2 linked regions of the Lytechinus pictus genome follow. The protein of the gene in region 1 purifies or fractionates together with the protein of each later gene. This does not show direct contact. Links are inferred from orthologs where the notes say so. Each region holds a gene or a part of one and is shown on either strand. Other genes may lie near its edges.

Region 1 (16,095 bases):
GTCCAAGTTTGAGCTACTTATATGAGCAAACAATATTCCTTGTTTTGAAATATGGGGGGTGGGGTTATACTAGAATGTTTTTTGTAAGATATACCTTTGTTGAATTTGAACTTGTTAATCCCCATTTAAATTGAAATTAACCTGTTGAACAAAAATGATAGCCTCTATTACTTATAGTATATCATGTTTTTGATGTATTTATGTATGTATTTTTCTGTGATACTGGTTGGCATTTATTCCTTGACGATGAGGCCCTTTTGTATTCCAAGGAATAAATGCCAACCAATATCTTACCTCACCTGGGTCAAGTGTGGCAAAGGATGCTTGTATTGGGGGATTTAGACCCCAATCCTATGTATGAAATGAGTTTTCTTTTTTGTTTATGTTATTTGATATAGGTTCAACAGAAGGGCAAGTTACTGACCGTTTTCTCTTCGTCACATTACTGCGGGGGATCGAATGAAGCAGCATGCATCCTGGCTGATAGGCAGAAATTAAGAACGATAAGACTCGATACATCATGAGACATTCCATTGACTATGTGAAATCAGAAAAATTGATGACGATCCCTCATGATGTCGGATTGAAATGCATGGTGCTTCAAACATGATTTGATTTCTATTCTGATGAAGTCATGCAAAGAAAGAGTAAGGGCTTGATACCCAATGGGAGACACAAATTGAAATGTTTCATGGTTCTTTGTTCTAAGGCCATGTTTCATTGTCTCTGAAACTGGATTCTTTTCTCAGGATGCAAGCAATTGAGCCTGATGAGTGCAAATATTGACAGCCAGAGTTTGTAATTAAGGTATAGAAATGATACAATGTCATCTTGGCATGCAATCTGGGTTTACTAGTTGTGAATATGAAGCTCTATTGCGAGGTTACACCTGAATGTTTTCAAGATGGGTGTTGGAAGTCTTGCGCCCAATGAGCACAAATTTTGATAGCCAGACGTTAGAAGGTACAAATATTATGACATTGTTACCTGTTGTCTTGGTTACTTATTCAGAAAAGGAAGCTCTAGTGTAGGATTTAATATGAATATTCTCAAGAGGGGTGCTAAATTCTAGGGATATTCATTGGTTTGATCATGGTGCAATATTGCTTGAAACCATTAGTTTTGACAGCATGAACCACATACTGTTGAAATTTAAATTTTGATGCTGTTTTGAGAGCATTGGGTGATTTTATTTGTTGGTACTGGTGTTGGTGTTAAAAACACAATTTAGATTGTCTTTCATCGCTCCAAAACATACTTTTGAGTTTACAGAAATGAGCAAATAACATTATTGACAGCTCAAGACTTCACAAGGTTCATTCCAGTACAAACTTCGTTTTCAATTTTGTGCTATTCTGACCTAAAAACTGACAAAACACCAAGACTTGGAGGTCAACACCGGATTCGAAATCATCCTCAAGGAAAAGTTCTATTACATTTGGCCTAGATAGGATTTGATATTTACCTTGTTAACACCCTTGGGGTAAAGCTGAGGAACTTTACTTGTGACTTATAATTGCCAAATACATTTAAACGCCTTTTCTAGGTAATATTAATTTTTTTCAGTAACTCCATTTCCTCTCCCTTTAGTAAAATTCAAGTTCTGCCACCGTATTTTACATGTATGGTCAGTCTTTGATATTGGATGGAAAGATTTTTAAGCTTGATGATAAGCTTTAAAGACATGAATTAGGTTTGGAATGTCTTCATTTATAAGAGAATCTTGACATTTTAGATAATCCTCACATTCTTTTTTGAAATCCTAAGAATGATTTTAAAAAATGCATGCTTTCTATGTTTCTTTAAAAGATTTTATATAACTATAACACTGATGGGGTTCAAATTTTGATTGTTTTTGTTTTTACAAACAAAAATGATGTGCAATATTCCTTAAACTATTGTTTGTTCTTAGTTAACATAATATTTGAATACACTCTATGAGTTATATTATTTATGTGTAAATATTTCATGTTTGTTAATCAAAGGAACTATTTTCTTATTAAGCCAAAGTGATTGTTCTTTTACTGTGCATAAAGTATATATGCTTTGGTCTTGGTACCATTCATTTCATCAAATTATTTTTTTTATGGGGAAACATGTTTCCATTATTTTATCTGGAACAAGTAGTTTGCTGAAATAATACCTTGAGAATCAAAGGCTTGAGTGTGTGATATGATTAGAGAGTTTCATCTAGGTAAATCAAATATCTGAAATCCCTCTGTGATGTTGAATTTTGTAAAGCAAGTGATGAAAAGAATCTCTAGAAATAACAATGCCTCTTTAGTACTGACTTGAAATCCACAATAAACAATTGTGATTTGATGTGTGAACTGATGCCTTTCCGGGTACTCTCATGAAAGTGGAGAGTAGAACTTGGCAAAATATTGCCCTCATTTTCTTCACTAGTTGTCTATAGGGAAACCTGGAAGAGGGCAATATGACAGATATTGCCTGCTCTCGCTTTGGAGTCAAGGCAAAATATGACCTTTTATTTTGCAGCTAAAATGTCTTGTATAGGTAGTAATTATAATTTGTTTTGTTACTTTTATCTCATAATGACTTGTTTAAAGATGTACAAAGTTTTTGATACTGTTTATACTGAAATGATGATATGTACATTTGTGAACAAATGATTAGTGAATGCCTTTTTAGTGCAAATGAGTTGGGTTACCTGCAACCAATGCATTGACTAGAGTTTTGTTTCAATCAGAAACGATTAATTTCGTTTTAATTTTAACTTAATTACCCAGGGTAGCTACTTCAGTTGTAAGCTGTTCTCCCAGTGGGTCCTGCATGATATAATATCTTGTTATACAGCGTACAGTCTTTATATTATAAATGTTCGCAGACATAAATGCATAAAACTGCTTGGTCTATAAGACCGTTTTGTCTAAAAAATTTGGGAATTCACTTTATCATATAATGAATAGATAATTTTTCTAGTTAGTCACATTGCATGCTACAGTACACATCCTATTTGAAAGATCCCCCCTCCCCCCAAAAAAAAGAGAGATAACCAACATGAACAAAATATAATGGAATCCACATTAAAGATCATCAAGAACCTGACAAAAATTTACACTAAATTAGTAATTTTAAAACTACATCGACCAAGGAAATGTAAAAATGTGAAATGATTGTTTACTATTAATGTACTTTTATTTTAGAATGGATATGGGGGGGGGGGGTTAGTGGAGACAACTTGTTGAACAGTGATATGTATAAGAAATTTATCAGTATTACTTAAAGAGTCTTTTTCAATTATGATGCACAAGTGCACTTGTATTACTTTGTAATTTGAAATGCTAGCAGATGCACAAAATAATTATGCTTTTATATAATGCTGTGCCTTGTTACTTATATACTCTGACTCTTAAATATTTAAGCCAATCTAGAGTAGTCGCAATGAGCAATAATATAGTCTTGAAAATCCAGGTGGAAAATTAGTATTGTATCATGGATTGAATTCTGACATAGTATGTGCAAGGCAAACATTGTGAAATAATGAAATTAGTTGAAATCTGATTACCAGTATGCTGAAAATGCAATTCATCTTTCTACCATTTGAACACAATGCCTTGCTTATTTTGTTGCTTACTGAACAATTGCTAATTTTATAACAAATCACATTGGCACAGTTACTTGTTTATTCATACATATATACAAATACTTCATGTTTACTTTGTTGGCATCTGTTGGAATTTATTTTTATGATAGTGACAATTATTGTTTACCTTTGAGAATGGTGCTTTCCTTTTTAGACTCTTAGACCCGGTTCTCATTACTCTTTCTAAAACTCATTTGCTGGAAACCGGTTCAAATAACCAGTTTAGAAAATCGCTTTGCTAGCGTTTCCATTTGATCACCCGAAAGTGGTTTTCAAAATCACTTCACGTAAAGCGGTCTTGTTGCTACGGGAACGCTCTCAGTGGGGTGACACGTTTCATGCGAAATTTGAAAATGCAGCGTAGGCATTCTACACACAGTGTGTGGAGTAGCGCGCTCAAAATGTGCGAAGATCGCTTCCCGAAGAACTTTTGTGTCCTCGTTTACGCTAAAACTGGATTAATGGCAAAAAGAAGCTGCTGAAAACTGCTTATCTAATAAAAGAGAGCCAATGGAGTAAATTATGAAGTCAAAAAGGGGGCCTAAGCTTTCGATCCTAGCAGAATCTTCGTCGGAGGCAAAATGACAAACATATAAAGTGGAACAACCATAATATAGACCACAAACAAGCTACAGCAACACTAGAAACAAGGAGACAAAAGGGGCATTAGTGAGTAGAGAAGACCAATCAGGTTAGTGAAGGGGATGAAAGAAAAGGAGTAGGCAGACACAAAGGGAAGTTAGTGTAAGTAAGGCCAAGAGGGATTAAGATAATGAGGCAGGCAACATCAAACAGGATCTGGAACAAAACAGTGATAGAGGGATGAATAACTAGAGAATTAATGAGAGGTGGGTCAAACAGGTTCCAAAGAAAGGCCTGTTTGATGTTGCCTGCCTCATTATCTTAATCCCTCTTGGCCTTACTTACACTAACTTCCCTTTGTGTCTGCCTACTCCTTTTCTTTCATCCCCTTCACTAACCTGATTGGTCTTCTCTACTCACTAATGCCCCTTTTGTCTCCTTGTTTCTAGTGTTGCTGTAGCTTGTTTGTGGTCTATATTATGGTTGTTCCACTTTATATGTTTGTCATTTTGCCTCCGACGAAGATTCTGCTAGGATCGAAAGCTTAGGCCCCCTTTTTGACTTCATAAAACTGGATTAACGAGGCAAAGCGATCTTCAAAACTACATTGCGAGGTGGTTTTCCGAATCGGTTTGGAAGATCGCTTCCAAGACCGCTTTGACCGATCTCATAACACTTTTAACTAGTTTCCAGTAAACTAGTTTTAGGATGGTAATGAGAATGGTGTCTTACTCCTGACACATGTCTCTATATTTTATTCCATTGATGTGTGTATTACCATTTTACTGCATTAGCATATCATTTGTCAAAGCAAACTTTTTGAAAACTGTTCTTATCCAAAAGGTGCACATATACTTACTATAACTACAGTGTTTAGATGTGAGTGTTCTATATGTGTGTGCATTTTAAAAAAAGAAATATATTTAACAGAATTTACCTTGGTTTTGAAAATTTACATAATTATATTTTAACTTAAATGCTTTTTTAAAAGACAGGTTCATGAGTTCTTATCTTATTTTTTTTCACTTCAAAGAAACACCATTGATTGGACATTAACAAAAAAACTATCTGATTCCAATGAATTATTATACAATTATTGTGATAGCTTTGGTATGAATTTTTAGTTGAAATTGAAAAGCAAGTAAATTTGAATACAAGTGAGATTTTTACCAATCACCAATAAACTTTGTACTTTGTTCATTTGTGCCTTGTCATTAATATAAACATTTGTCTGGATCTGGGGAATGTTACACAATTAGCGTGATTGAGAGTCATGCTTAAACGGCAACGTGCACAAGATATTTAACACGTAATCTGATTAAATGATACACTGTACTTCACGTCTCGTGTGCAATTTCTGGGCCCCTTTTCAAATTCATTAAGACTTGTTATAATGAAGAATGCACAATTTCTGTAACAAGTTTGCTATCAGTCATTCAACTTTAAGGATTTCAGTAGCTATAAACTGCTGTTGCAAATTCGATAACAGTTCTTATGATCCAGGCTCCTGAACATTATGGTGATGCATTATTATCCCGCATGCAATTGAAATTTAAGTCACACAAATCTTTGTGGAACACCCCCTTAGATTGTAAGAATAATTATCTTGATAGTCTACTGTGTATTAAAGTTGGCAATCACAGCTGCTAATTGACAATGCAAGAAACTGTTTTGAAATTGCCTGGGTAAGAAATATTCCATTCACTTTATACATGTATATACATGTAACCTTTTAAAACTGCATAATAATTTTTTCCTTGTCAAGAGTTTTTCAGAGCTCTTGTTTTTGTAGTGGCCCTTTTGTGTTTTTGCTTTATATTCATTTGGTCTTCAAGCAGTTGGTCAACTTCTCAGATGGTCTAATACCACATGGGCGTAAACCTAGTTAGTCTTCTAATTGCTGTTTGGTCTAATACACATTGGCCCGTATTCTGAACTTGGGTTTGAATTAAACCATGGTTTAAATTTGTGGTTTAACTATGGAGAGTCAAGTTGGACACAAATTCCTGACAGCACACATCCCATTAATTAACTCATTTTGACACACAAATTGTTCATAATTGTCTATTGAAGTATTCTGAAGTATTTTTCTTCATTATGAATGCAACAAGAAACAAAATAGCAAACATAAGAGATATACAGTATCAACAAAATTTTTGAATTATTGGCTCCCCATAATTTTAGCACAGAGATAGACCGTGGTCTAAGTTAAACATGACTTCAGAATACGGGCCATTGAGTCTAATGCCCACATGGTCATGGCCTCCGGGAAACCATGTTTGCTTGGGGTACTGAAGCACCCCCACAAGATTTTTCTGGGATGTATGTCTCGTATGCTATTTACCATAGGCAGCAGCCCTCTGTAAACCAGGTTGACAAGCAAAAAACTTGAAAAAAGGGTTGTTGATCCCAAATGACAGAGATCTGGGAGCAATTTATCACCTTTCCCCCCTTTTGCTTGTCAATTTTTTTTAATGACAATCCACTGAACAATATCCACAGCACTCCTTATTTAGAAATCGTTCCCGGGGCCTTGCACATGGTCAAGTTTCAAAAACTTCATTTGCTTATCCTGCTTTGTCAAATGAAAATGTGATTTATTAATGGGTTATCTGACTTTGGTACACAAAGTGCTTTTAGACCAAGTGGATAGTAGACAATGGATAACGTCTGATATGACATAAGACAAAATGGCTATGTATTTTAGACAAAGTGTTTAGTATAGAGGAACTGGTTGGAGGCCAGTTGGGGTAAAGACCATAGATATATGCAACTTGGTTTATATGTCTATGGTGTAATTGTGTAGGCCAATCATTAATTTACCCTTGACATATATCACATCTACCCAGTAGCGTACCGTGAACCGCAGGAGACAAAGCATTGGGGGGGCAGTGCATTGTCTGTGAACAATGCTTTGCCCCCCCAATGCTTTGTCTCCTCCGAGTCACGGTACGCTACTGCATCTACCCCTGCCGAAAATGGGGGAACAAATTAAAATAAATCCAAACAGGTGATCAAGCTGTAGCAGTGTGAGAGTGAGACGATCTAGGAATTCCCTATTATTTTATCAAGTATATAAAGCTGGATATGAAATAGTTATTTCATGATTATAATGGAAGATGGCTGATCGCATTTCATTTATTTTGTGCATTACATTCTGAAAATGGCCTTTATCATATGCCCATGTTTTTTTGTTTAAAATGTGGCTGTGTGCTATTCAAGTTCCGGTATGTTTTTTTGAGAGACCTGCATTTACATGTACATGATCAGGGCCCTGTACAAACATAAGGAAAAACAATTTAATTTAATTCCAATCAATTCAAAATTTTGTGCATGTGGTATACCACAGCTGACAGTAAAAAGTAAAAAATCATATCTTTTATGTATATGGTCCTTGTAAAAGAATTTGAATCCTATTTTTGGTTGATAATTAAGTTTTCACCACTATATCTCTGTGCTACAAACATTTTTCCTTGCCGCTCAAATGAATAAAATATCAGATACACTTATGATTATTATAATTTCATGGGCTTTTTAAGATTTTGTTGCTTATACATAATACATACTGGATTTAGGCCTACGTGAACAAAAATATTAAAGAGATGAGATTTGAGAGAGAGAGACGAGGGAGAAGGGAAAAGGGAGCTAGAGAATATGATTAGAAAAATTAAAAAAAAAAGGAAGAGAAAGCAGGGATTGATGAGAGAGTGAGAAACAGAAGAGAGAAGGGGGGAATAAAAATGGCGGCGGTATAGAGCATTTATTACAAATCATCTTGCTCTTCCCGTCTTTTTTCGGTCTCCCTTTGGGGCCCTTCGGTCCTCGTCTCCGTTTTATGCTCGCGGTATAGTCTTGTTCAGAAAAGCTTTTCTCGCGCGCTCGCTCAATGCGAGTTACTGTCACATGTGTCGCAATAGTGACGTCTGGTAGATGTGATTTGAGCCCTTCTTTAGTCTGTGACCTCCTATATTTAAAAGATGGGGATTCTGGAAAGGATTGCTGAAATAGAGGCAGAGGTTTGTGATTGAATCCGATTTCTCTCAGTTGTGCCCATACTTTATACTAGTAATATAACGCCAATTGTCGGTAAAAGACGGAAGACTGGTGCAAATTCTTTCATTCTATTGCATGGTCCCATTCGTTTACTTTTATGTAGCTTGCACAAGCAATGTGACACTGCACTGTGTGAACTGAGTGAAATTGATGTGAATGTGAGACTGAAGTAAATGTGTAACTATTAGACCATGTCTTTCAAGACGAAATGGGCAGTTCAGGCAGAAAATAATGGCCTAATTTGTTCACCTCTGATCCTGTGACTGATTTAGATCTAGGCCTACATCGTTAGGCTTAATTTAAAGTTACTCACATTACGGCCTAAGGCTAAGTACGGGACTGAATTTGGATTTGAGTGGACTGTGTGGGAGCTGGGAGTCTGCCACTCACACGTATGCAGGGTGAAATACGGGATGAAATTTAAAAAAAAGAAAAATGAAATACGGGACAATCGACAAAAAAAGATCAACAAAGAAGGCCACAAAATGTTAGACTTGTGAAGAAAGTATAAAGAATTGGGAGGGTGAACAAAAGAATGAAGGAGAAAATTAAAGAAAGTTAAAATAACAGAAGGATGAAAGAAAGAATAAAGAGAGAAAAGGCGTTTCCGTCATTCTTTGAATTGAATATAGAAAGGAAGGGAAGATGAATAAATGTGTGAAAGACAAAATAAAGGAGAGAAAAAAAGAAAGCAAGAAAAAAGGAGGAAAGAAAAATGTTTCCTTTATTCTTTGAAAGAAGCAAACGGAAGAAAAACAGGAAGGGAGGAAGGAAAGAAGGAAAAGAATTATAAGAAAAAATGAAAGAAAGGAGGAAAGAGAGGGAGGAGAGAATGAAAAAAGAAAATAAAGGAACGCGACAAAGAACGAAAAGAAAATGAGAGGAAGAGAGAAGGAAGCAAAGAAAAGTTTAAGGAAATAAAAAAAGGAAATTTGATAAAGGAGGCAGGTAAGAGAAAGAAGGAAAGAAAGAAAAATGGAACACAGAGAGAAAGGATCAGGAAAGAAAAATAGGAAATTAAGATAGATAGAACAAAAAAGGGCAAGCAGGAAGGATAGAAGGATGAAGAAAGAAGGATAGAAAATAAAGAAAAAGGAAAAAAATTAAAACTTCAAGCAATTAAAAACGATCCAATGATCTAACAAATATCTATTTGGTGTTTTTTAAATATATTCTTAAAATTAAAAAAGCTAAAATGTTTTAGAAATGAATAAAATTTCAAAGTGAAACATTGTCAACTTAAAAATTAGATGAAACATCGCAGCATCATATACACAACAAGACTCAAAACGAAAGCTGAAAGAACTAGATCTAGTTATGAAAACTCAACTACTTGTTCCTCCGTTTACATCTCCAAATCAGTAATCTGAGAATCCATGATATAATTATACAAATTTCCCGCCGATTTGTGATTATTTTGGTTGAAAAACTGTTGATCATGTAATTGTTTGCACCATTGAGAATCTGCTGCTATCCTACATGCCTAGCTAGTAGCCTGCCACACACAGGCAGGAGGCCAGTTTGTTTGCAATGTATTGGGTTAGCAAGAAAATCACAGCAGAACTTGCAAAAGTTTAGTTATCGATTTTATTGTTGTCTCTGCTTCGTCATCTGTTGGTTAATTGATGAAAATTCGTCACTTTTAAATGTATTAACTACATTTTGTTCAATATTCTGAAATACGGGACAAATAGGCGTCCCGGAAAGAGTTTGTTGATGCGATCCCGGGAAATATTGGAAGTCTGGTCACGCTTCACGTATGCGAGGTTAGTAGGCCCTATGCTATACTAACTTCGCACTACGAATGTGATTACCGTAAGTAACGGTGTATTAACCGCACCTTTTTCTCGGCGGGACAGAATCAAAAGTCGGGGGTGCGGTTTATACACGGTGACAGGTCTGAGCCAAGCCAATCTCAGCCCGATACCACTACCAGTTTTCAACTCGCGTCGGGTGGCCGAGCATAGCCGCTTGGGGCAATCCCGTTTAGAGGGGTATGAGCCGCGGGTATAAAAGGGAAGCAACTATGACTACCGGTATCTACCGTAAATGTCCCTCAAAGTTATATCACGGTAACAAACGCACCTACCTTCATGAAACTGACTTTTTTTAATGGTGTGACTCTGTCTTTGTTGTCATTTTTTAGTCATCGCGGCAAAGTTCAGACGCCAATCGATCGCACAGCGCGGTGCAGCTAGCCGAATAAGACATGCATGTGTAATGTTTATCGCAACGTCAACGTAAGCTGGCGCTTTACCTTTCCGTGGAAGTTATTTTGTTTGACAAATTATTGGTATTATTTGACAATTAATTTCTTTCATTTGCCTTTCCTTCATTTCTCTCTATCATCCATCATCTCAAAATCAATCTTCAATCCCCATCTTCACTCCTTCCGACTTTTTATTTTTAATTATTATTCACTTTATTCCCGCCCAGAGCTCCCATTGAAAATACGGTATACCGGTACTAGCATTTTTCCCCTATTTTGCTGTCTGTAAGATACCGCCACACACGTACTGAGAACTACCGGTAGTGGTTCAAAGCAGACAAGAAAAACACCTGAACAAAATCGCAAATTTCTCGTATCTTGAACCTTCCCGTATTCCCTTGTCTAAAATTCATGTCAAGACATTGAATGCTAGACAGAATTCTGAAAGCAAAAGTGGGGCTGTGATGCAGGAAATATGATATGAACGATCTTCTCGTATGGGTGAGCCCCCATGTTGATGCTGGTATCGGTACTTGCAATGAACACCGGTACCATATGTGTGTGTGTGAGGTGACTCGGAGTGTGGAAGTGGCCAATAATATCGGCAACTTGCAGATAAGTGACGAAGCGCTGATTTCCCATCATTTTTTACCAGTAATTCTTCGATATTTTTTGGTTCTTGACTCTTTCTTAAATACGCATATTAGAGATAGAAAGTAAGTTTGATTAAATTTTTTTTTTTTGATTTTTTTTTTTTTTTAATGATTTTTTTTTTTTTTTTTTTCCATCCGAAAATGGGGGGTGCGGTTAATACACGGGTGCGGTTAATACACCGTTACTTACGGTAAACAATGGATTTTTGAGTTGTCGGTTAACATCACTTCATAACAGGAATAATGTTTGTCGAAACGCGTTCCGCTACTCACCAGGGCTCTTTCCAGTGACGGGCTATCCATTTTCAATTTTTTAATTATTTGTTGATAATGAAAAGCACATAAAAAAAAAGCACAATCGCTTACCTCGGCACGGAAAGTGGCTTCGCATGTCTCTTCTACAGAAAAAGGAAGGCCGTTGGTGGCGCTAATACATTAACCTTTATTCAGCTCGTCAGTATTTTATCTAAATTCATTGTATGTGCAATTCCTATGATTGTTTGATGAAATATGGACACTAATAAATGCAATAACTAAAAATACATGCTTTTAGATTATTATTGCTGACGATAAAACTTTTTGGAAAACATTCAAAGTGGTGACACATGAAACAAAAATATAGAAAATTCTACGTGCCTTGAACAAAGCCAGCAGTGCAAGCTACCGTTCGTTTGTCAACAAACGTTCCACCAAAGTCTATACAATAAAAAGATTGCACACTTTGCTGACTTCGCATAAAGCTTTGCACAGTGACGTAACTATGGGGGAGGTGGGAGGCAAAGGAGGAAAACGGGAAAGGGAGAAAAAGAGGGAGAAAGAAAGAGAAACGTAGTGGGGGAAGAATAAATTATTGTTTATTAACTATGATATATTATTCAATTCAATTCAATTAATTTATTGTCATGTTCAATGATTAAAAACACAAAAATTGTCCTCAGACTCTTAACAAAAAGTGCATTGAAACAAAAAATAATCACAAACTATAAATACATCAAAATAATACATACATGTAATATAAATATATAAATAAATATACCCTGTATGCATGCTTGAGCACCCACGACACGACACCAACCCCTGAACGACTGTATGAAACAAAGTGTAAAACCTTGTAACAGACCCACGGAGAGTATACCTAGGAAATTATTTGGGTGTATGGAATGACCCAAATGAACTACATCAACAAATATTCAGGGAAAACATAATTTGTGCCTCAAAAGAACAGTGGAGTTATGACCTAAGACATGTTTTCATGAGGTAGTCAAAATATGCAAACACTCTATTTGCAAACTTTTTGCTAGTCCACTCTGTTCTTCTCGAATCTTCCGGGCTTTCAGTGATGTTCATCAAATGTAGACTTTGAGACAACATGACATTTGCAAGAGCTGGTAATATGCTTCAAAGGATGCTGGTAGTTTCAGTCAGCCCATGGTGCTCTGTCGTTCTGGTCAGGCATTGCTGCACCAGGTCATCGTCGTCCTTGAAAAACAAGATTTCCATCCATGATTTTTTATGGATCATTTCCGGCTTCTTTGATGAGGTCAGGGACATCTCTGTAGATGTTTGGGAGATCAAACATGTGGATCAATATATCCTTTTTTCAAGAGGGTAGTTGTCACATACTTGCTGAAAGTCCTAAGGCTCTACATGCTGCGAGGTAGTAGGGTTCTGTTACAACAGCAGCAACAGTCTTTACTCTTTAGGCTGCTACACTTTCCAGGTTGGGAAGGCATCATATCCTCTAGGAAATAAACATATGCTGCATGAAAGAAAAAGATGTTTGAATGGTTCCCTCTTGAGTTGTACAAGAGGTTACAACCTCATCCTGTTTTCCTTCAGGAAATCCTCAGAGTAGGTCTGGAACTGGCCATGATTATCAGACTTCTCATCTCCACCATGGGCAAATGCTTTTGACAAATTCTTGATGAAGACAAAGAAGTCTCTTTGGTTAGGACTTGAAGGATAGACTCTTTTTCCTTCAAAGAGTTCTTCCTCTGTAGTAAGCAATGTCTTCTCACACACCTCTGTGTACTCTTCTAGACTATGAGGTCTACAAAAAAGTAGTAATGTTCTCCAATGACCTGCGCTCTTCATCACATAGGTTCTCCCAGTGGTCAATAACCGGTGGCAAGACTTCTTTTTTATCTGAATTTCCAACAATTCATGCCATTTTAGTTCTGTTGCAGCATGGTCTGACCTTGTGTTTCTTACATTGCCTCAAAGCTTCTTTCCTACCACACTGGCTTCTTATTCTGCATCCTCAGTGTCTGTAAGAACTTCTTTAAAGGTGACAAGGGTATCAAATGCAGATTTTGTTGTGATGTTTCTCAACCCCAGAAATAATATCTTTAATATCACCATATACATGTAGTTTAATTTCATGTATAATGTGGTGTCATCTAGTGATGTGACATCTTGTATTATCTGCTCTTGTGCTAGATAGAGCCTTGGAGTATTCATGTTTTCCATAAGTAGACTTCGCAGGTATCCTGATACATGTACCTCCAATAAGATGCTTCACAATTGCATTGATGCATGGTTAAACTTTCAACACAGCTGCATGTACGTGATTGTCAAGTAATTCATAAATATTAGCATATAGCCATGTTTTGTGAAATTAGAATTGTAACAGTTCTTTTCATTGTTGTAAGTTTCTCTTTACATTCTCTCACCCTAAGTACATGTATCTCATCCAGTTCCTTGTCTCTATGTCTCACAGCAGTACATTCTTTAATTGTCCTCTTCCAAGCAGTTCATCTAACAAGTTTCATGGTTCATTCTTTCTTCCATTTTCTTGACTTTTTTTCAGTAGTTATTTTCTTTGTTTTACTCCTTCTTGTCCTACCTTCTCTTTCTTTGCTGGGATTATCTCCTTTAACAATTCCAAAACATTGTGATTTTAAGAGGTCTTTTTCTTCTACTATTGATAGGGTGAATAGAAAGGGAAATGAAGTAGAGAAAAGAGAGAAAATGATATTAGGTGATAAAAGCACTTTTTGTCATAAATCATCATTATATGCTTCATTAAATTTGAAGCCCCTTTTAGGATGCATATCTGCATTGGGATCCTTTATCCCCCACCAAACAGGGATATCTTGGCCTTTGGGAGGAGTTCGTACCCCAATCGTGGGCAACCTCTTCATCATTTTAATACCAAGTTAGGCAGCAGCTAAAAGCAGAAAGTTACAAACAACCAAGTAAATAAATATAGATATGAATGTGAAAGTGTTTTCTCTTCGTATTCCTCTCTTTTGATTCAAACAGTTGGTTGCTTGCTCCATTCCCAGAGGAGTGGAAAACATCTCAGAAAAAAATACAGTAGACTTGACTTGTTTATCTTTTTGGATTCACAGATGGCTCGAACCCAGAAGAACAAGGCGACAAGCGGTCATCTGGGTATGCTGAAAGCCAAACTTGCTAAGCTGAGAAGAGAGCTTATTACTCCTAAAGGAGGTGGAGGAGGAGGGGGAGGAGAAGGTGAGTTTACTCTCAAACATAAATTCAGTGGAGTCCAGTGTTCTATTATGTAAGCAACTGGGAATTCTGTGCAATTTTAGTCACACTTGCTAATAATCCAGGAGGCCACATATGGCTTACTTTGTTTTATGTCCAATACTATTGGAAACTATTAGTATTTTAAAAATTCAATAAAACCATATTCTTATTTTTTTCCCACAGGTTTTGATGTTGCCAAGACTGGAGATGCAAGAATAGGCTTTGTTGGTAAGATTTGCATTTTTTTAATGGAAGTTACAGGTTTTTGTCAAAATATGTTTCCTACACATTCTTTCAGAACAAGTTAAAGTACAGATTTTCCTTTCACGAAAATCTACCCCTTTTAACCCTAACAAAAGACAAACTATATTGCGGTAGCTTATGTTTTTCAAGGTTAAGCATTTTTACTCTTTATCCAACTATCTAAAAATTACAATGTTTGTGTTATTTCTTCAAACATTTTAATTTTCTCTCTTTTGTTGGTTGGTAGGGTTTCCCTCGGTGGGCAAGTCTACCCTTCTAAGTAACTTGGCTGGTGTCTACTCTGAGGTAGCTGCGTACGAATTCACTACACTCACCACAGTACCTGGTGTTATCAGATACAAGGGTGCTAAGATTCAGGTATGTTATCAATGAGTGATTTCAAGTTTGGTGTTGGTGTAGAATGCGAGTAAGATGTACTCCCAACACCAAATTAGAGGGGTGTTTCACGAAGAGTCAAGTTTGAATTGGAGTTGCACATAAATTCCCATTTAATGTGTGGTGTAAAAGGCATCATCGCATTGGTCAAATCATGCAAAGAGGACACGCACTAGTGATCATTAATCAATAAGATTGCATGTTGTAAACCATTTGTGCATCAGCATTTAAGTATGAATCTAAATCATTCTAAGCTCTTTGTGAAACACCCCCTTGATTTACAAAATATACTAGTCACTTTCGAAATCCATTAACTCAACACCAAATTACATATAACATGATTCTCAGCAAGAGACCCATTTCAAACTTGATGTTTATAACGATCACCCTTGCACCATTACCAGAAATCAACGTCAATCTTGAAGTCACCCAATATTTCCCCTAATTCTTTCATGGATATCGATATTGTCAATGGCAAACTCCTTTTGCATATTAAAGCTATTTAAGCTTTGCTTGTCATCAACCTTCCTAATAAAATGTCACAGAAACAGTGCAAGATTGCGAGGCTACAGGCTTAATGATTGCTCGGACATTGAGAATGACCCAATTTATGCTTCTATAATGTTATTTTCATCTCTTTTGTCTTTTCTCTTTCAGTTACTTGATCTGCCTGGTATCATTGAAGGAGCTAAAGATGGTAAAGGAAGAGGAAGGCAGGTTATTGCAGGTGAATATGTATATTTTTTTTTATCCTACATGAATTAAATCCTGTATGATTATTATCTGAATATAATTTTTGGAATGTTTTTAGATTTTACATATCTTCTAGGCAATTCTCATCCTTCTATGAGATTAAC
Region 2 (16,095 bases), on another chromosome or scaffold:
TGTATATGTTAAAAAAATTAATTCATCATCTAATTTCTACTCCAAATATTGTGTTTATATCAGTACAAAAACCACACAGGCTAAGTATGTCACATGTAGGCACATGTTACATGTACATGCATGTACCCTAACTTTTCCTGCAGTTCTTTGAAAACGCAGATCTCCACGAAAATTGCATTTTTCTATGGGGGAGTCTAAATTCGGTGAAAAAGTGTTCATCAATAACTTAAATATATATCACAATGAAGAAACCATCCAACTTTATTGGTAGTTTAAAAAAAAAAACTGAAATGTAAACTCTATCTAAAACAGAAAATCACCATCATTGAGGCCTTTACTGACCGAATTGTCCCCCAGAGCTCAGGCAGAGAGAGAGAGCTCCGACTTGCACAAGTGTCAGTGCGTGCGTGAGTAAAATCCGACGGCCTCCTAAAATCAGATGTTGCCATGTTTGATGATTTACTGTCTGATATTTACCCCCTCCCTTGAAAAAATGAAACAAAAGATTTTTCAGGAATAATTCACTACCGAGGTAAGTTATTTTGGATGTTAATAGGCGCCCTTTTGACAAGCAGAGCCGAAGTCTACGTGACACAGAATCGTGATATCCCTAAGGGAAATGTGTGCATTGGAAATTACACACGGCGTAAATGATAATGGACCCCTGTACATGCAACTGTTTCTCGCACCGGTGTAGCCCGATTCTTTTTTCCATAGGTACCATGTGTGTGGAAAAACGTGGTACAGAAAAAAAGACGCAGCTAAGCAATTTGAAACTCGCTATTTTCGCTATTTTCAAGGTTTTTTATGATTTTGAAAACATAATTTAGACTTATAAAGCATGGATTAGTGTGCTGGTAAGAAATTGCTTTTTTGGTGGCTGGTACTAGAAAATCTTAGGGAGCCCACCGGGCTTTTTCAATTACTTTCTAAGGAGCCCGCAGAGGTTTTAGGGAGCCTTTTGCCACCGGGCTCCCGCTAAAATCGAGCCCTGCTATGACCCCATCCCCCCCCCCCCCCGAGTAAGTAAAACGTACATTTCTTATCTTTTGATAATTAATTATGTGAAGTATTATGAAACTTTTATGATTTTAAAAAGCCTTACATATAAGTACCAAGAAAATTATGCCTTTGAAAATCATATAGCACTGGTAAATGTTAATGTGTATTGTCAGTTACCGACAAGTAATGATAAAAATGTTCAATTCAAAGAAAGGAATTAAGAAAAAGAATTTTTTTTTTCATTGAAATGTTCCTAGAAACTCGGGTATACTTCCACATCAAGCTCACTTTCATGTGAAGCCCTGCACAGAAGATACAATGCAATGATTCCACACATTTGACTTCCATGTGTTATCTCTATGGCAAATTAAGTGTAATGTCAGTTACCGTAATGTCAGTTACCAGCATGGTTGTGGAAAAATTATCATAGCCCACAAAAGACAAAAACAAATTGTTTAATATTTTGACACATCTTAACCTAGTAACTGAGGTATATTTACATATTCAAATTATTACTCTATCTACTCAGGGACATGAGATATTTCAATTTTAATGAACACCCTGAAATTGCATGTCCTTTTGCGTAATGTCAGTTACCGACACATTTTTGCTTGCTGATGCGTAAAAAAATGTGGTTACATAGGAAAACTTAGTATCAGAGTATACAGCAAGGTTCACTTTATTAACTCTATCAAAAGCAAACTCCCATCATTTGTTGTTTTAGAGATACACACAATGAAAGGTGTGAAAACATTGTGCCGTGTAATGTCAGTTACCGTGAAAATGCCCTTAGGTGATTTCAACGCTCATAGTACCCTCTGGGGCAGTGACAAAACCGACAGAAATGGACAAGCCATTGAGCAATTTATATATGAGAATAACTTAATAGTATTGAATGATAAAACAGGAACTAGACTTGATCCTTGTACTGGAAAGCTTTCGTGCTTAGATCTATGTATGTCCTCCCCATCACTGGCCGGTAAGGCGATATGGAAGGTTATGGAAGATTCCTTTGGGAGCGATCATTTTCCAATTATTATTCAAATAACACTTGGAAAGAAAGGAAAAAATCATGAAAATCTAAGTAATCAGGCCAAAGATAACATGTCTCATGAACATATCTCTTTCAAGAATGTTAACTGGCCCATATTTGCATACAAATGTGAAAATATCATAAAAAATGAAATAATTAAATCTGAAGATGGTATTAAGAACATTTTTTATTCATTTATGGAACGCTTGAAGGAATGTATTCATGAAGCAATCCCGAAAAAAAGAAAGACGGGGAAAAAATCCTGTCCCATGGTGGAACAAGGAATGTACTGAAAAGATTAAAGAAAGAAATAGAATAAGAAACCATCTATCAAGAAAAATCACACTTGATAGAATTAACGAATACAAAAAAAAGAAGGCAGAAGCCCAACAAGTTCTCCGGAAAGCGGAAAGAGAATATTGGCAAGCTTTTTGCAGAAGACTAGACAGATTCATGCCAGAGACAAAGATATGGTCATGTATAAAACGTTTAAATGGTGTACCTGTCAAAAAATCACAAAATATGCCTATTTTGATGGAGAAAGGTAAAGCCATTACGTCCTTAACAGAGAGAGTAGAGATTTTTGGAACTTATTTCCAATCCTTAGGACAGAAAAAAAAAGATTCCAATAAAACATTAACCAAGGAAGTACAAAATTCTTTCTACCAAAATGAACATGTTATTAATGAACCTTTCTCGAAGAATGAATTTGAGAAAGCAGTTATATCTACTAAATTTGCTGCTCCAGGAAAAGATAATATTCCATACATTGTATACGAAAATATGCCAAAAAGCACAAAAGAAATTATGTTGAACATTATTAATAGAATATGGGAATCCGGGGATATCCCGAGTTCTCTAAAACACTCAATTTTAGTGCCAATCTTGAAATCTGGTAAGGACTCAAAAAATGTTATCTCCTACAGACCAATATCACTTACATCTTGTTTTGCCAAAGTTATAGAGCGTATGATAAAAGATAGATTGCAATGGTACATAGATAAAAATAACTTATTGCCTAATTTCATCAGCGGTTTTAGAAAAGGTCGTAGTACTACTGACAATATTGTTTTATTAGAAAATGACATTCAAAAATCTATCAATTGCAGTGAGCACACTCTTGCAGTATTTTTGGATGTCGAAAAGGCTTATGACAGTCTTTGGATTGATGGATTACTGTACAAACTCACTCAATGTGGTATAGGAGGAAATATGTTACATTTTTTAGAAAATTATCTAACAGAACGTACCTTTCAGGTAAGAGTTACAAATACTGAATCCAGAACATTCCAAGTCCATAACGGACTCCCCCAGGGGAGTGTTCTGAGTCCCCTTTTATATAATGTCATGATGAGAGATATTCCAATTGATCCTGAAGTGACAATATCCACATATGCTGATGATTGTGCAGTATGGTTTTCTGGAAAAAATGTAGAGAATATTAGATTAAGGATACAAACTTATCTAGATGTATTATGTACCTGGTTTAAAGACTGGGGCTTCAATTTTTCTATTGAGAAGACTGTTCCGGTATTTTTCACTAAGCTCACAAACGTTACTCCTCCAACAGTCAAGTTTGAAGGGAGTATACTCACTTATAAAAATAATCACCGTTTCCTAGGAATGATATTTGATAGTAAATTGTCTTGGCATCCCCATATAGAGAACGTAGTTTCAAGAAGTAAAAGGAAATTAAATATATTGCGAAGTTTAACAGGAACTAAATGGGGAAGTTCATCTAAGTCCTTACTTATGGTTTACAGGGCAATTATTAGATCAATTTTTGATTATGGTTGTCAAGCTTATGATAGTGCTCCAGTATCTACAAAAAAATTGTTAGACTCGGTGCAATATCAAGCACTCAGAATATGTGCTGGTGGGCTGCCATTAACATCGCTAGTTTCACTGCAGGTGGAAATGGGAGAACCCCCTTTAGATTTAAGAAGGCAAATGTTATCAAGCAAGTATAGACAAAATATAGAAAGACATAATAATCACCCATTAATAACACGTATCAAACCATGCTGGCAGTTCGATTATCTTAAAGGTAAGAATGTTAGTAAACCGTTTGGTTATAGGCTCCAATCCAAGATAGGAAAAGAAATTAGTATCGAAAATGTTATTTCTCCATCCTTTCCCCCTTGGTTATTTTGTCCACCAGTTGTATCTACTGAATTGAGTTCACAAATCAAGAAATCGGATCATCCAATACAATTACAACAATTGAGTTTGGAATTGATACATACAAAATGGTCACACCAACTCCATATATACACTGATGGATCCAAAGCCCCTGAAAAGGGGATTAGCTCAGCTGCTTTTAATGTACCTTATTTTTCCTTCTACCAAGGCAAAAGACTATCGAATTTCACCTCCTCCTATAGGGCGGAATTAATTGCGATTGTTCTTGCACTGGAATGGATAGAAGATTTAGATATATATACAGGTGTTGTTATTTTCAGTGATGCATTAAGTGCACTTTTATCTTTACAGAATCGGAAAGACGATCCTATTATCACAGAAATTCTAACTATTAGTACAAGACTCAAATATAAAGGTATAGAGATATACCTGGAGTGGATCCCTGGTCACTGTGGAATAAAAGGAAATGAAATAGCAGACTCCTGCGCAAAAAAAGCTTTATCAAATAAAATAGAAATTCATAATCAAATAACATTATCAGAAATTATGCAACTTATTTCAAAAAGTTGTAAGATAATTTGGCAAGAAAGATGGAATAAAACTAACTCAGCACTGAAAGAACTGCAACCATCAGTGCTATCCACATATAAATGTAATCTAGGGAGACAGGAAACTGTACTCCATCGTCTCCGTTTTGGAGTCGCTGGTCTTAACCAAGATCTACTAAGATTAGGGATCCATCCAACAGGGTTTTGTGATAGATGTCCTGAGGTAGAAACTGTCAGACATTATCTTTTACATTGTCCAAAATATATAATTGAAAGATCAATGCTCCTTGTAGAATTGAATGAATCACAGCCAGGACAAATAATGGAGTATTTAAAAAAAGATGACCCAGGGATACAGAAAGCATTTTTACGTTTCGTTTCAAGAACGAAACGTTTTAGTAAGGAGTGATATGTGCTATTATTATATTGTATTGTTTATAAGAAATATGAAAGGATATGCTTGTACAAGTCTAATGTGAAAAGAATATATATATATATATATATATATATATATATATATATATATATTGTAAAGAAATGGATGAAGAGAACAATGGTAGGCGTAGCTTAAATCAAGGTTCCCCAGAGCTATCTACCCTTTGGAAAAATTGGTGATGCCGAAAAAATGTCTCTGCCGGGAATCGAACCCGGGCTCCCAGCTTATATATATATATATATATATATATATATATACATAATAATGCATGATATAATATATACAAAATGATATTTTCTGCACATATAACTAACAAAGCCCACAAGTGTTTTCGCCTTGTTGTTGTTGTTGTTGTTTAAAAAAAAAAAGAAACAAATTATTTTAATGTTTAACCCATCTGTAAGCACAGGTACACTAGCGCCCCCTCGTCTATGCATGGGTGACCTAGGCATTTTTATGTCCGAAAAATCGGCACAATGTACCGTGCTGACCGGTATGATTGCATCTTAGAAAGGGCAGGGCAAGCGCAACTAGTTGGAACTGGGCTGAAGATAGCGGTTTGTTTTTGGTGAAGATTTGTTTATATGCCATTTTGACAAGAGTTAAGACAAACTTTTATACTATATTCATCATTTTTATAATAGAAGGATGCACAAGAAAAATATTTCATATATGTATACATCATATTGGTAATAATATGAGAAGTGAGATTTTATAGATAAAGTCAATGGCGACAATAGTCAAATATGACTAATTGCCACTCAAACCAACATAAGAAGAAGAAGAAGCTCTTCTTGCACTTCACTAGGTGGTACGTATACTGTACGCGTACCGACTGCTTATGTGCAGCGCTGAGCTTGATCAAGCGACCGAGTGATTCCGAAATAGGTGTAAAACTTTGTAAAAAAGTGTCAAAACGGCAAATATTCAACTTCTACTGGACTTTGGAGGCTCAGATGCAAGTATTTTAGGTTGTGAATTATTTAGGGTGAGATTGTACATGTTTGAAAACCATTAAACGGGGAGGTGCGAAACTACACTAGCGCCGCCGATTGTACGAAAGGTTTTTTCCAGGACCTTCTTTCGTGTCGCCCATCTTTTGATTTTATGATGCGCTGTGTAGCTAGTGTAATGTCTATGCGGGATTATTATTATTAATAAATTAGATCTAACGTTAGATCTATTAACCTCACAATACGTGTGAGTGGATCTAGACCACTCACACGTATTGCGAGGTTAGTATTAGTATACTAACCTCGCACCACGAACCGCGTTTGGCAGTGGATTTCTAACTACCGGTAGTGGGTCGCGCGTGCTGGGATCTCACTTCTTGGGTCCACAACACACGACTTCTATGGCTTGAATTTTCTGTGCGCGGCGGCATGTAATGAACCCTTGGGTGGATCTCGACTAGACTTCTAGAGTACATAGACAGACTCTAGTCTATTAAAAGACTATAATATTAACAACATAATAAATTACAAACAAATAAAATTCATTTTTAGACCTAGATCTACTTACATGTAGATCTAGAACCTAGCTAACATTAACGTTAAATCAGTTTTTATACAGTTTCATGAGATATCACTATCAGTATCAGTTTATCACATCATTTTGTAAGAAAAATTTTGTTTACTTTGGACAAATTAAGAATAATATATGTTCGCAGGTAATTTATTTGTATTTCACATGGCACATCATAATAAATGGACGACACGAAAGACGGTTCTTGCAAATTAAGACCCTTTCATGCAATCGGCCCCAGAATCTGAGAAAGTCACAGCAGCCGAGCAGGAAAATGTAGGCTTGTTGAATGGGTAATGGGTTGGGTTTCTTGACATTAGAATGAATTAAACGAAAGGGACTATATTGCACAAACCCTGGTCATTGCTTCACAATTACTTTTGCTTCAAGGAATAACTTTCTTTTTTTGAATAGATTTTAAAATGAAATAAATTTTTGGAAATTTGATTTGTCTATAGGCCTACGTACATGTATAGTCTAGGCTTGCATTTTAAGATAATTTTTTATTCCAAGCTAAAGACTTGATTGTGAACTACATGTATCATTGTCAAGATTAAAGATGTTCAATATGTTTTTTGTTTTTTTTTGCATAGGGTGCCTGGGCTGAGAGGGTAGGATCAAACCGAGCCCTTGACTGTGGCTGTGGCATCGGACGGATCACCAAGCATCTACTGTTACCGCTCTTCCAGCAAGTGGATATGGTAGAACAGACACAGAAGTTTTTAGACGAGGCGGATCAGTTCATCGGAGAAGGAGCCAGTCGGGTGGGACAGAAGATATGCTCCGGTCTCCAGAACTTCAAGCCTCGTTTGGAGCACTACGACGTGATCTGGTGCCAGTGGGTCCTGGGTCACCTCACGGATGAACACTTGGTGGATTTCCTGAAGAGAGCGAAAACAGGACTCGCAGAAAATGGAATCATCTGCGTCAAGGAGAATATTGCCAAGTCTGGGGTGGTGTTTGACGACCAGGACAGCAGTGTAACAAGGTCCAAAGCACAATTGAAGAAGATCTTTGCGCTGGCAGGGCTGACCATTTTGAAGGAAGCTGACCAGAAACGTTTTCCGTTGGGTTTGTTCGCTGTGAGGATGTATGCCTTGAGATGATTGGTGAATATTCCTTTTTATATCTATAGACCAACTTAACAAGACTCATTAACAAGAAAACATTTGTATATTTTTTTGTACAGTACCATGAAAGTTTTTTTTGTTGTGTTGATTAACCTCAAACAAAAGAGTGAAGGTTTGAAACCTGACTTGACATAACCACATTATACATATCCAGTTGTAACTGGTAATGGTTGTGGTCATGGTACCAACAGGTCTTTTTTATGAGGATAACTACAAACTTTTTTTCATGGAATCTATTTGTCAAGTTTGTCATTCCTGGAAGTAATATCTGTGCAGGTAAGGTTTTGGGGTGCATACATGTATATATGTTATGAAACGACATCAAGATAGGTAATTGTACAACCCACCAAGATAACAGTTGAAACCTGTGACGTGCTCACAGTGATTCAACAAGTATTTGTGTACTGTTTCTGCCGTCCATGCTTCTATAGCTCACACATGTGTAATCCTATTTGACATTTAAAAAAAAAATATATATATATTTTCCGAGCAGAATGTAATTTTGAGCTATCAAGTTGCACCTCTACTATTTATCCCAGCATTTTCATTTGGTTTTACTTCCACTGCATGTTACATCACTTTATATTTTAATTCTTTTTTAAACACTTTCCTTTATTTAAGCTTCATCTTTTCATACTTCTATGATTGTTTTAAAATGATAATGAATATTCCACTTTAATATTGCACTTGATAAATCAGAAAATTGTCTGTTATCACTCTACAAATATATGCATGTAATACCAGGGTCATCACATCCCAGCTTGCCTGCACAGAATGCATTTTGTCCACTCCCTGGGGAGCATTCCAACAAGAGTTTCCAAAATCAATCCAGGCATACTACTCTATTGGCTTCTGCATTTCATTGGATACCTGGGTTGAGAGTGGCAATATGTGAATTGACGATTGCTAAGGATTTGAATACATGGCCCTTTGTTTATAAAGCTAAAGTAAAAAAACCATTACATGTACACGTGTACATCAAGAAGCTCCTCAGATCCTTTGGAATTTTTATATTAAAAGGAAAGGAATTCTACACTTTAAAAATGTCATTACTACTTTTATACTAATTTTTAATGCCAAAGCTAAATCTAAAGTATTGTTTCAAAAATATATTTTGAAAATTATATGATTATGATATGATGATAGGATATGTTTATTATTAATGTTGTAAAAAAAAATCACATTTTGTTTCAATTTACAGTAATTTTTATGAATATGGTATTGGATGTTTTGTAGATTTAGGATAAATGATGAACTGTTCATGTACATTTTCATGTACATGAAGTGTTGTCTCCATTTATGGAGCTGTGACTTGCTATTCATGGAGATAACTTTGTAAGTGACCTACTACTCTACCTTCATTTGAGCTATGTGGGGGGGGGGGTTGATAGAGAAAGACACGGGGACATGATTGTGCAATCATATCTGCACTAACTTCACCTTTACAACACCCCCCCCCCCCCTTCTTCAACAAGATTTACCATAATGGTATTTAGAGGTTTACCGTAATGGTATTATTATAAAGAAAATTACCCTAATGATATTTGGAAATATAAGAGAATACCGTAATGTCATTATGGAGCTACATGTATTCTGCTATCATGGATACCAATCAAAACCTTATTTCCTCTTTTTTTTTTTCTTTTTGTGCACAACTATTTACTAATAATGTGTAAAGCATTTCCATATTGAATGCAGAATAAAAGAGCATCTATAAGTGCCATGGCCGGGGATCGAAACACAGACTTTCCATGAATAGCCAGGCGCCTTGACCACTCAAACCCCCGACTTTCATAGCCAGGCGCCTTAGACCACTCTGCCACAGCACCCTGATTTTGATTGGTTGCTTTGCCCTACATTTAAAGGCTAATTACCATATTATAAAGAAAATTACCCTTATGATATTTGAAAATATAAGAGAGTACCGTAATGTCATTATGGAGCTACGTATGTATTCTGCTATCATGGATACCAATCAAAACCTTATTTCCTCTTTTTTTTTTCTTTTTGTGCACAACTATTTACTAATAATGTGTAAAGCATTTCCATATTGAATGCAGAATAAAAGAGCATCTATAAGTGCCATGGCCGGGGATTGAAACACAGGCTTTCCATGAATAGCCAGGCGCCTTAATAGACCACTCAAACCCCGGACTTTCATAGCCAGGCGCCTTAGACTACTCTGCCACGGCACCCTGATTTTGACTGGTTGCTTTGCCCTACATTTAAAGGCTAATTACCATATTTTTCAGGTTACCTTCATCAGTATTCCCTTATTCCCTGGTGAACATTTCTTGCATGCTAAATAATCACCAATGAACATTTGCTGGTGAAATTCACTTACCTCAAGAAAGGATCACCAGATTCACTCGTAGGAACAGCTTTATGAAATGCCCCCCCTGGTCTAGCAAGGGTGTTATGATGTACGTACTTATCGTCTTTACCAATAGTATTTTTTATACGAATGGGCCCAGAAATTTGAATACTTGATTAAATGACAATTTACATGTACATGTTTTCCTTTATGCTTCCATCCATTCTTAACAAGAAATCTATTTAGTTCCTTTTGATTGCATCTTCAGAAAAGACTAGTTCATTTTAATGTTCTTTGATTTGAACATAAGGAAACAGTATCCATGTATTAAAATGAATTATTATTTGTAAAGAAAGTCAGTCTATATTTTGTTGCTGAGTAGTTCAGGTAAATGTATTTCTGATAATCCTCTATGAGGGTTTCAGTTCAGATTTTCATGAGCAACCTTTTGTAAAATATTTGAAGTTGAAAAAAAAATTACATTACATATTGAAAGCAGCTTAAACTGTTTTTCAATCGGGGGGGGGGGGTAGAAATTTCCTGTATTTTATAACTTAAGATTAATGTGTATTACAAAGAAATTAACTGAGTAAGGCTGCTACAAATCATATCTGATCAAGTGTAGTCATTGTTTAAATTTTTTTTAATGGGCAAAATTTTTATTGCCAAAGTTTTTCTCAGTGTACTGTGTAAACCGAGAACTGATTTACCGCCCTCCCCTTCTGACAAAACTAACAGTATTAGATTTATACTACCAGTCTTGTACATGTAGCGTGCTTTATCAATTGGTGTGCAAACTGCAAATTTTTATTTTGCTTGATTTATCATACTTATTTGAGAATGTGGCATTATTTTTTGAAATCTTTCTTGTAATAACCTGTTCAAGAAGGTAATCAAAAATATAAATGAACATTTATTATTCAGTTCCAACAAAACACAGGCTTTATTATTCAAATTGCTCAGTTTTATATTTTAACATATATGTATGTATGGTGGTTATCAATTATCCACTCTAAAAGGATTTGTTTACATTGATCCTTTCTCACTTCTTTTTCTAATTATGTGACTTTAAATGTATATTTTATGTACTTATTTTGTTTGGAATCACTGTGTTGCATCTTCTTGAATTATATAGCAAATGTTATGAAGTTAGCTCTACTTGTAACTAGTAGAATAAATATTTTTAGATCGAGATCATGTATGGGGTTTTCTTTAATATTGTTTTATTCTGATTTTATGGTTCTGGGGACTGGGGAGGGGGGTGTTTTAGAGTCATGCTTAAATACTGACATGCACACGATGTGAATTATGAAACATGCAATATTATTGATTAATGTGCATTAGTGTGCATGTCCTCTTACTTAGTATGATTTGGCCAATGTGGTGATGCCTCTTGTACTGCACGAAACTGGGGATATACATGTACATGTAAGTGCGACTCTAATGGGGTTTTGCTAGAAACTTGTAATTGATCGCAAATCAATTTTAGGTCTCAAGATCTATTGAAAGTCATTCATTCTAATGCAAATTCAGAATTGATAGTCTGTTTCTTGCATCAACATGTATATATTAATTTGCTTTAGTTGAAATTGATCTATCACTTGTAAATTTGCAATTGATTGCAAATATTTTCTTGCAACACCCCTTTAGTCACACTTAAATCTTTTTGAAACGCCCCCCTGGTGGGTGTTTCATAAAGCTGTTCGTAAGTTAAGAGCGACTTTAAGAACGACTGGTGATCCTTACATGGTAAATGGTATATTCATTGGCGATGGTTTAGCGCGTAAGAAAGGTTCACCAGTCATTCTTAAAGTCGCTCTGAACTTACAAACAGCTTTATGAAACGGCCCCGTGGTCTGCTGTTACACATAGTAGTGATGCATTTTATAGCATTGACATATATGGGAAGTGATTTTAGCAGATAGGATACAATGTATACTTCTACGATCAAAGCATCTCAGAAGAGAGATACTGGCAAAAAAGTGACCCACCACTCTCAACCTCTTCCTACTTACTTGTCTGTGCTCATTGGCATTCCTTTTTGTATTTCTATATGAAGACCAGGGTCCCGTCTTACAAAGAGTGGCGATTGATCCGATCACCCACAACTAAATGTAAATCCATAAATGTCATAATTTTTCATAGGTAGAAAAACGTGCACTACATGTATGTTCTTTTGTAAACATCGAGGAGCACATTGAATTGTCAAGACAACAATGAACGTATGAATACATCATATCTAGAAAACATTTTGAGAATGCATGTGTATTTTATATGTGGTGTAGCTGGCTTTCCATAGTTGTGGTTGATCGGATCATTCACAACGCTTTGTAAGACGGGGCCCTGTTCTATCCAGCAGCTGAACTTTACACTTTACTGAAGTTAGTTTGCATTTTCAATATGAAAAATGAATTATATTCATGGTTATTTTAGAAGTGCAGAATGAGTACATTACTTTCAAGTAAACATGTACTTCATGTCAATTTTAAACATGGCAATGAAGACTTTCAAGAATTTTCTCTCTTTTTTTCTCTTTTATCACTGCTGCCATGATATTAATCTATAAATCATAAATTTGAGGCACTTATTTTGTAACTTCTCTCTAACCCTGTCTCTGATTTAAAATTGTTATGTTGTGTATTTGTTTCTTGCATGTTAAATGATTTATCTGTCATTACAGTTATGTAATTAATGTTTAATAAGAAATTCAAACTGTACTTATTCCAATAATATTAATAATTATTGATTATCAAATCAATTTCTCAGAGGCTTTGAAAATTTGATAGTGCATTGTCTCCTGTGTTTGTAAATTAAGAAGGAATGTCATCATTTGTATGGTGATGATGATCGTTATTATGGTTATGATCAGATGATGATGATGATAACGATGGTGATGATGGTGATGATGATGGTAATGATGATGATAGTGATGATGATCATGATCATGATGATGGTGGTGATGATGATTATGGTGATGATATTGATGATAGTGATTATGATGGTGATTGTGATCATTGGCTTCAATAATGGTGATGAAAATGATGAGGATAAATACATATTGATATGATGGTGGTGGTGGTGAAAATACTATGATGGCGATGTGGTGGTGGTGCTGCTGCTGAGAGTGCCCTTAGATGACCTAAAAGAAACAAAATTTACCAGACAACAAAATCTTCAATGAAAGATCGGTATGTTGTATTAAACACTGGCTGCTTTAACCTACAAAGTCTGTTTTATCTGATAGATACCATAGTAGCATTCAAAGACGTGCCTCTCAGCCAATCAAAATCAAGGAAAGTTTCAGACAAAATACTGTTGTAACGCCCTCCTACACTGGAACAAGGCTCAGCACATTGTTGAAAGAGCGACCTCTACCGTCATTTGTTTTAAATCGCTCTCTTGTTTCGGCGGTGTGATGTATCACCAAAAAACGTAAATTGTGGAAATAAGGATATCTCCTATTCATTATGAATTCGGGCGAAAAATGACTACACATAAACAAACTTTGAAAATAAGGAGCACAAACAAAGCAGATCGCTGATGTATCTAGGAAGTTGACCACAACAAAAAGTCGAGTTGAATGAAAAGAGAAAAATCAAACAAACATAATCGGATGTAAATCAAGAATGCCATGACACGTCTTTTGTTTAATTTCAGAAAACAGTTAAAATACATGCTGGGCCCCGTTGCATAAAAATTATCATTATGGTAACTATGGCCATGAATGGTATATACCATGGTAACGATGATCAACAGCCAATCAAAATCAAGGATTCAATGCAAGTTACCATTCATGGCCAAAGTTCACATAATGGAACTTATAGGCAACGGAACCCTGGGCCCTGTCTGACAAAGAATTGCGATTGATCCGATCAACCACAACTATGGAAAGCCAGCAATGTCAACATCTAAAATGCAAGTTTGTTCGAAATATTTTATAGATATGATGTATATGCATACATTCATCATTCTCCTGAAAATTCGGCACTGTGATTCTCTTTGTTTACTAAGGAGATAATACAAATTTCCTGTAGAAAAAATTAAGGCATGGGTGGATTTCCATACAATTAAGATTGATTGGATCAATCGTAACTCTTTGTAAGAAGGGTCCCTTGTTGGTATAGATATGAAGGAACCGATACCGTAATCCACTCTTTATTTCTTTTGTATTTTATTAAGGGCCTTTCCACACGTGAATCTTGAATCATCATGATGATTTGCAATTCGTCTTTAGAATCATCGGACCTTTCACACGAAAAATTCGTACCGTAATTTGAGTGAAACTTAAGTGGAATTCACCTCCGGAGTAGAATTTGTGATCGTGATTCTAGTATGGTTTCACACGTGCTAAATATTCGTCATTAGCCTTATTTTTCACTGGAATCACCATTCAAATTACGATTTTTTTTTACCGTGTGAAAGGGCGGTTACTCTCATTGAAATGTGAAACAAAGTTTGATATCTCACTGGAAATGTGAAATTACCATCATGTTGTAACATGGAAGATAATAATAATGGCGTGTCTCCTATTGTTAAATCTGAAAAAAAAAATAACATTGTATATTCATCTCATTTGCATAAAAATGGGGTTTGCACAAATTATAGTTGACCGTAGTTTACACCCGATTTTGAAGAAATTTTCATTGTTAATGCTTGTTTGATTTTTCTCTTTTTATTCCTATCAACTTCTTGTTGGGTATGAATTTAACCTTTAAAAAATCAAGTTCCCACCCAACGCCTCTTTCGGTTATTGAATTGAATTTATTTCCATAAAAAAACTAATAACAATACATATAAAATGATACATGTGAAATTGACAAATGAAAACGGGAGGATGGCCCTACTCATCAGCATCAATCATGGTGTTGCTGGTCTCGGGCACGGAAATTCCTTTTATTTCCGTGGTTTGGGGTCCTCAAATACCCTCAAATACCAGGTCGTTATGTCACTGACGCGGCTTTACAAAAGGGAATTCCCCGTTTATTTAGAACGCCGTTGCATCGGAATTTCCAGGGCGGTTTTTGGCAGATGAATTGATTTGTGATAAGTACAATCAATAATTGGTTTGAGAACCCATCAGCCGTTATTGTTTGAATGTACGTGCTTTCAGACTTAAAGGATCTATCTGTCAATAGGTTTTCTCTTCCCACAGTCTGCATGCAAACACGCGTGGAATTTACTCAGCAGTAGAGCTAATATGAGGATTTTTTTTCTCAAAAACCTTGGGTTTTCTATTTCAGTTTTTCATCGATTACATAACATGACAATCCATGAATACCATAAGAGTCTTGTAACCACTGGCCTGTTTATAAACTGTCGCATAAAGAATTTCAGGTTCTAAACAATTTTTTTTCTCTCTTGCAGGTAATGCTGTAATGGTATATAGTAAAAGAAAACCTTAAAGGGATGGTCCGGGCTGAAAATATTTATATCTAAATAGATAAAATATAAAATTCACAGAGCAAAATGCTGAAAATTTGATCAAAATCGGATAAAGAATAACGATGTTATTGAATTTTAAACTTTATCAATATTTTGTGAAAACGGTTATATGCACATCGTCATGAATATTCATTAGGTGGGCTGATGATGTCACATCCCCACTTTACTTTTTCATAAGTTATTACATCAAATCATAAATGTTTCAGTTTTCATACATGTGTAAATGATGTGTCTCCATTATGATGAAATAAGTTGTGACAATAAATAACTAACGCACTTAATCAGTTGTCAATCCAATTGTTTTAGTTCTTGGTATAATTTTTTTTAATAAACCTAATTTCATATAATAAAATACAAAAGAACGAGTGGGGATATGACATCATCAGCCCACCTAATGAATATTCATAAAGACATGCCTAGAACTGTTCACCGGAATAATGCAAATCTTAAAAATTAAATAACTTTGTTACTTGTTATCCGATTTTGAACAAATTTTCAGCATTTTGCTTTATGAATTTTACTCT

What was found.
Region 2: the proteins of developmentally-regulated GTP-binding protein 1 (region 1) and N-terminal Xaa-Pro-Lys N-methyltransferase 1-like purify together in Homo sapiens (affinity purification with mass spectrometry; 3 studies listed by BioGRID and IntAct, counting the BioPlex papers as one, with this or other methods). This does not show direct contact. The link is inferred for Lytechinus pictus from reciprocal best matches to the Homo sapiens genes DRG1 and NTMT1.

The regions. Positions count from the first base shown.
Region 1 is NC_087246.1:19,625,945-19,642,039, reverse strand, and holds the start of developmentally-regulated GTP-binding protein 1, read left to right. Parts: upstream 1-8,044; 5' UTR 8,045-8,166; coding exon 8,167-8,205; intron 8,206-14,457; coding exon 14,458-14,581; intron 14,582-14,782; coding exon 14,783-14,827; intron 14,828-15,089; coding exon 15,090-15,220; intron 15,221-15,895; coding exon 15,896-15,965; intron 15,966-16,095. Other genes in the region: serine/threonine-protein phosphatase PP2A catalytic subunit 3-like, read left to right, coding at 399-524. UniProt on the Homo sapiens protein: Catalyzes the conversion of GTP to GDP through hydrolysis of the gamma-phosphate bond in GTP. Appears to have an intrinsic GTPase activity that is stimulated by ZC3H15/DFRP1 binding likely by increasing the affinity for the potassium ions.
Region 2 is NC_087259.1:13,082,754-13,098,848, forward strand, and holds N-terminal Xaa-Pro-Lys N-methyltransferase 1-like, read left to right. Parts: upstream 1-7,282; 5' UTR 7,283-7,383; coding exon 7,384-7,791; 3' UTR 7,792-12,378; downstream 12,379-16,095. UniProt on the Homo sapiens protein: Distributive alpha-N-methyltransferase that methylates the N-terminus of target proteins containing the N-terminal motif [Ala/Gly/Pro/Ser]-Pro-Lys when the initiator Met is cleaved.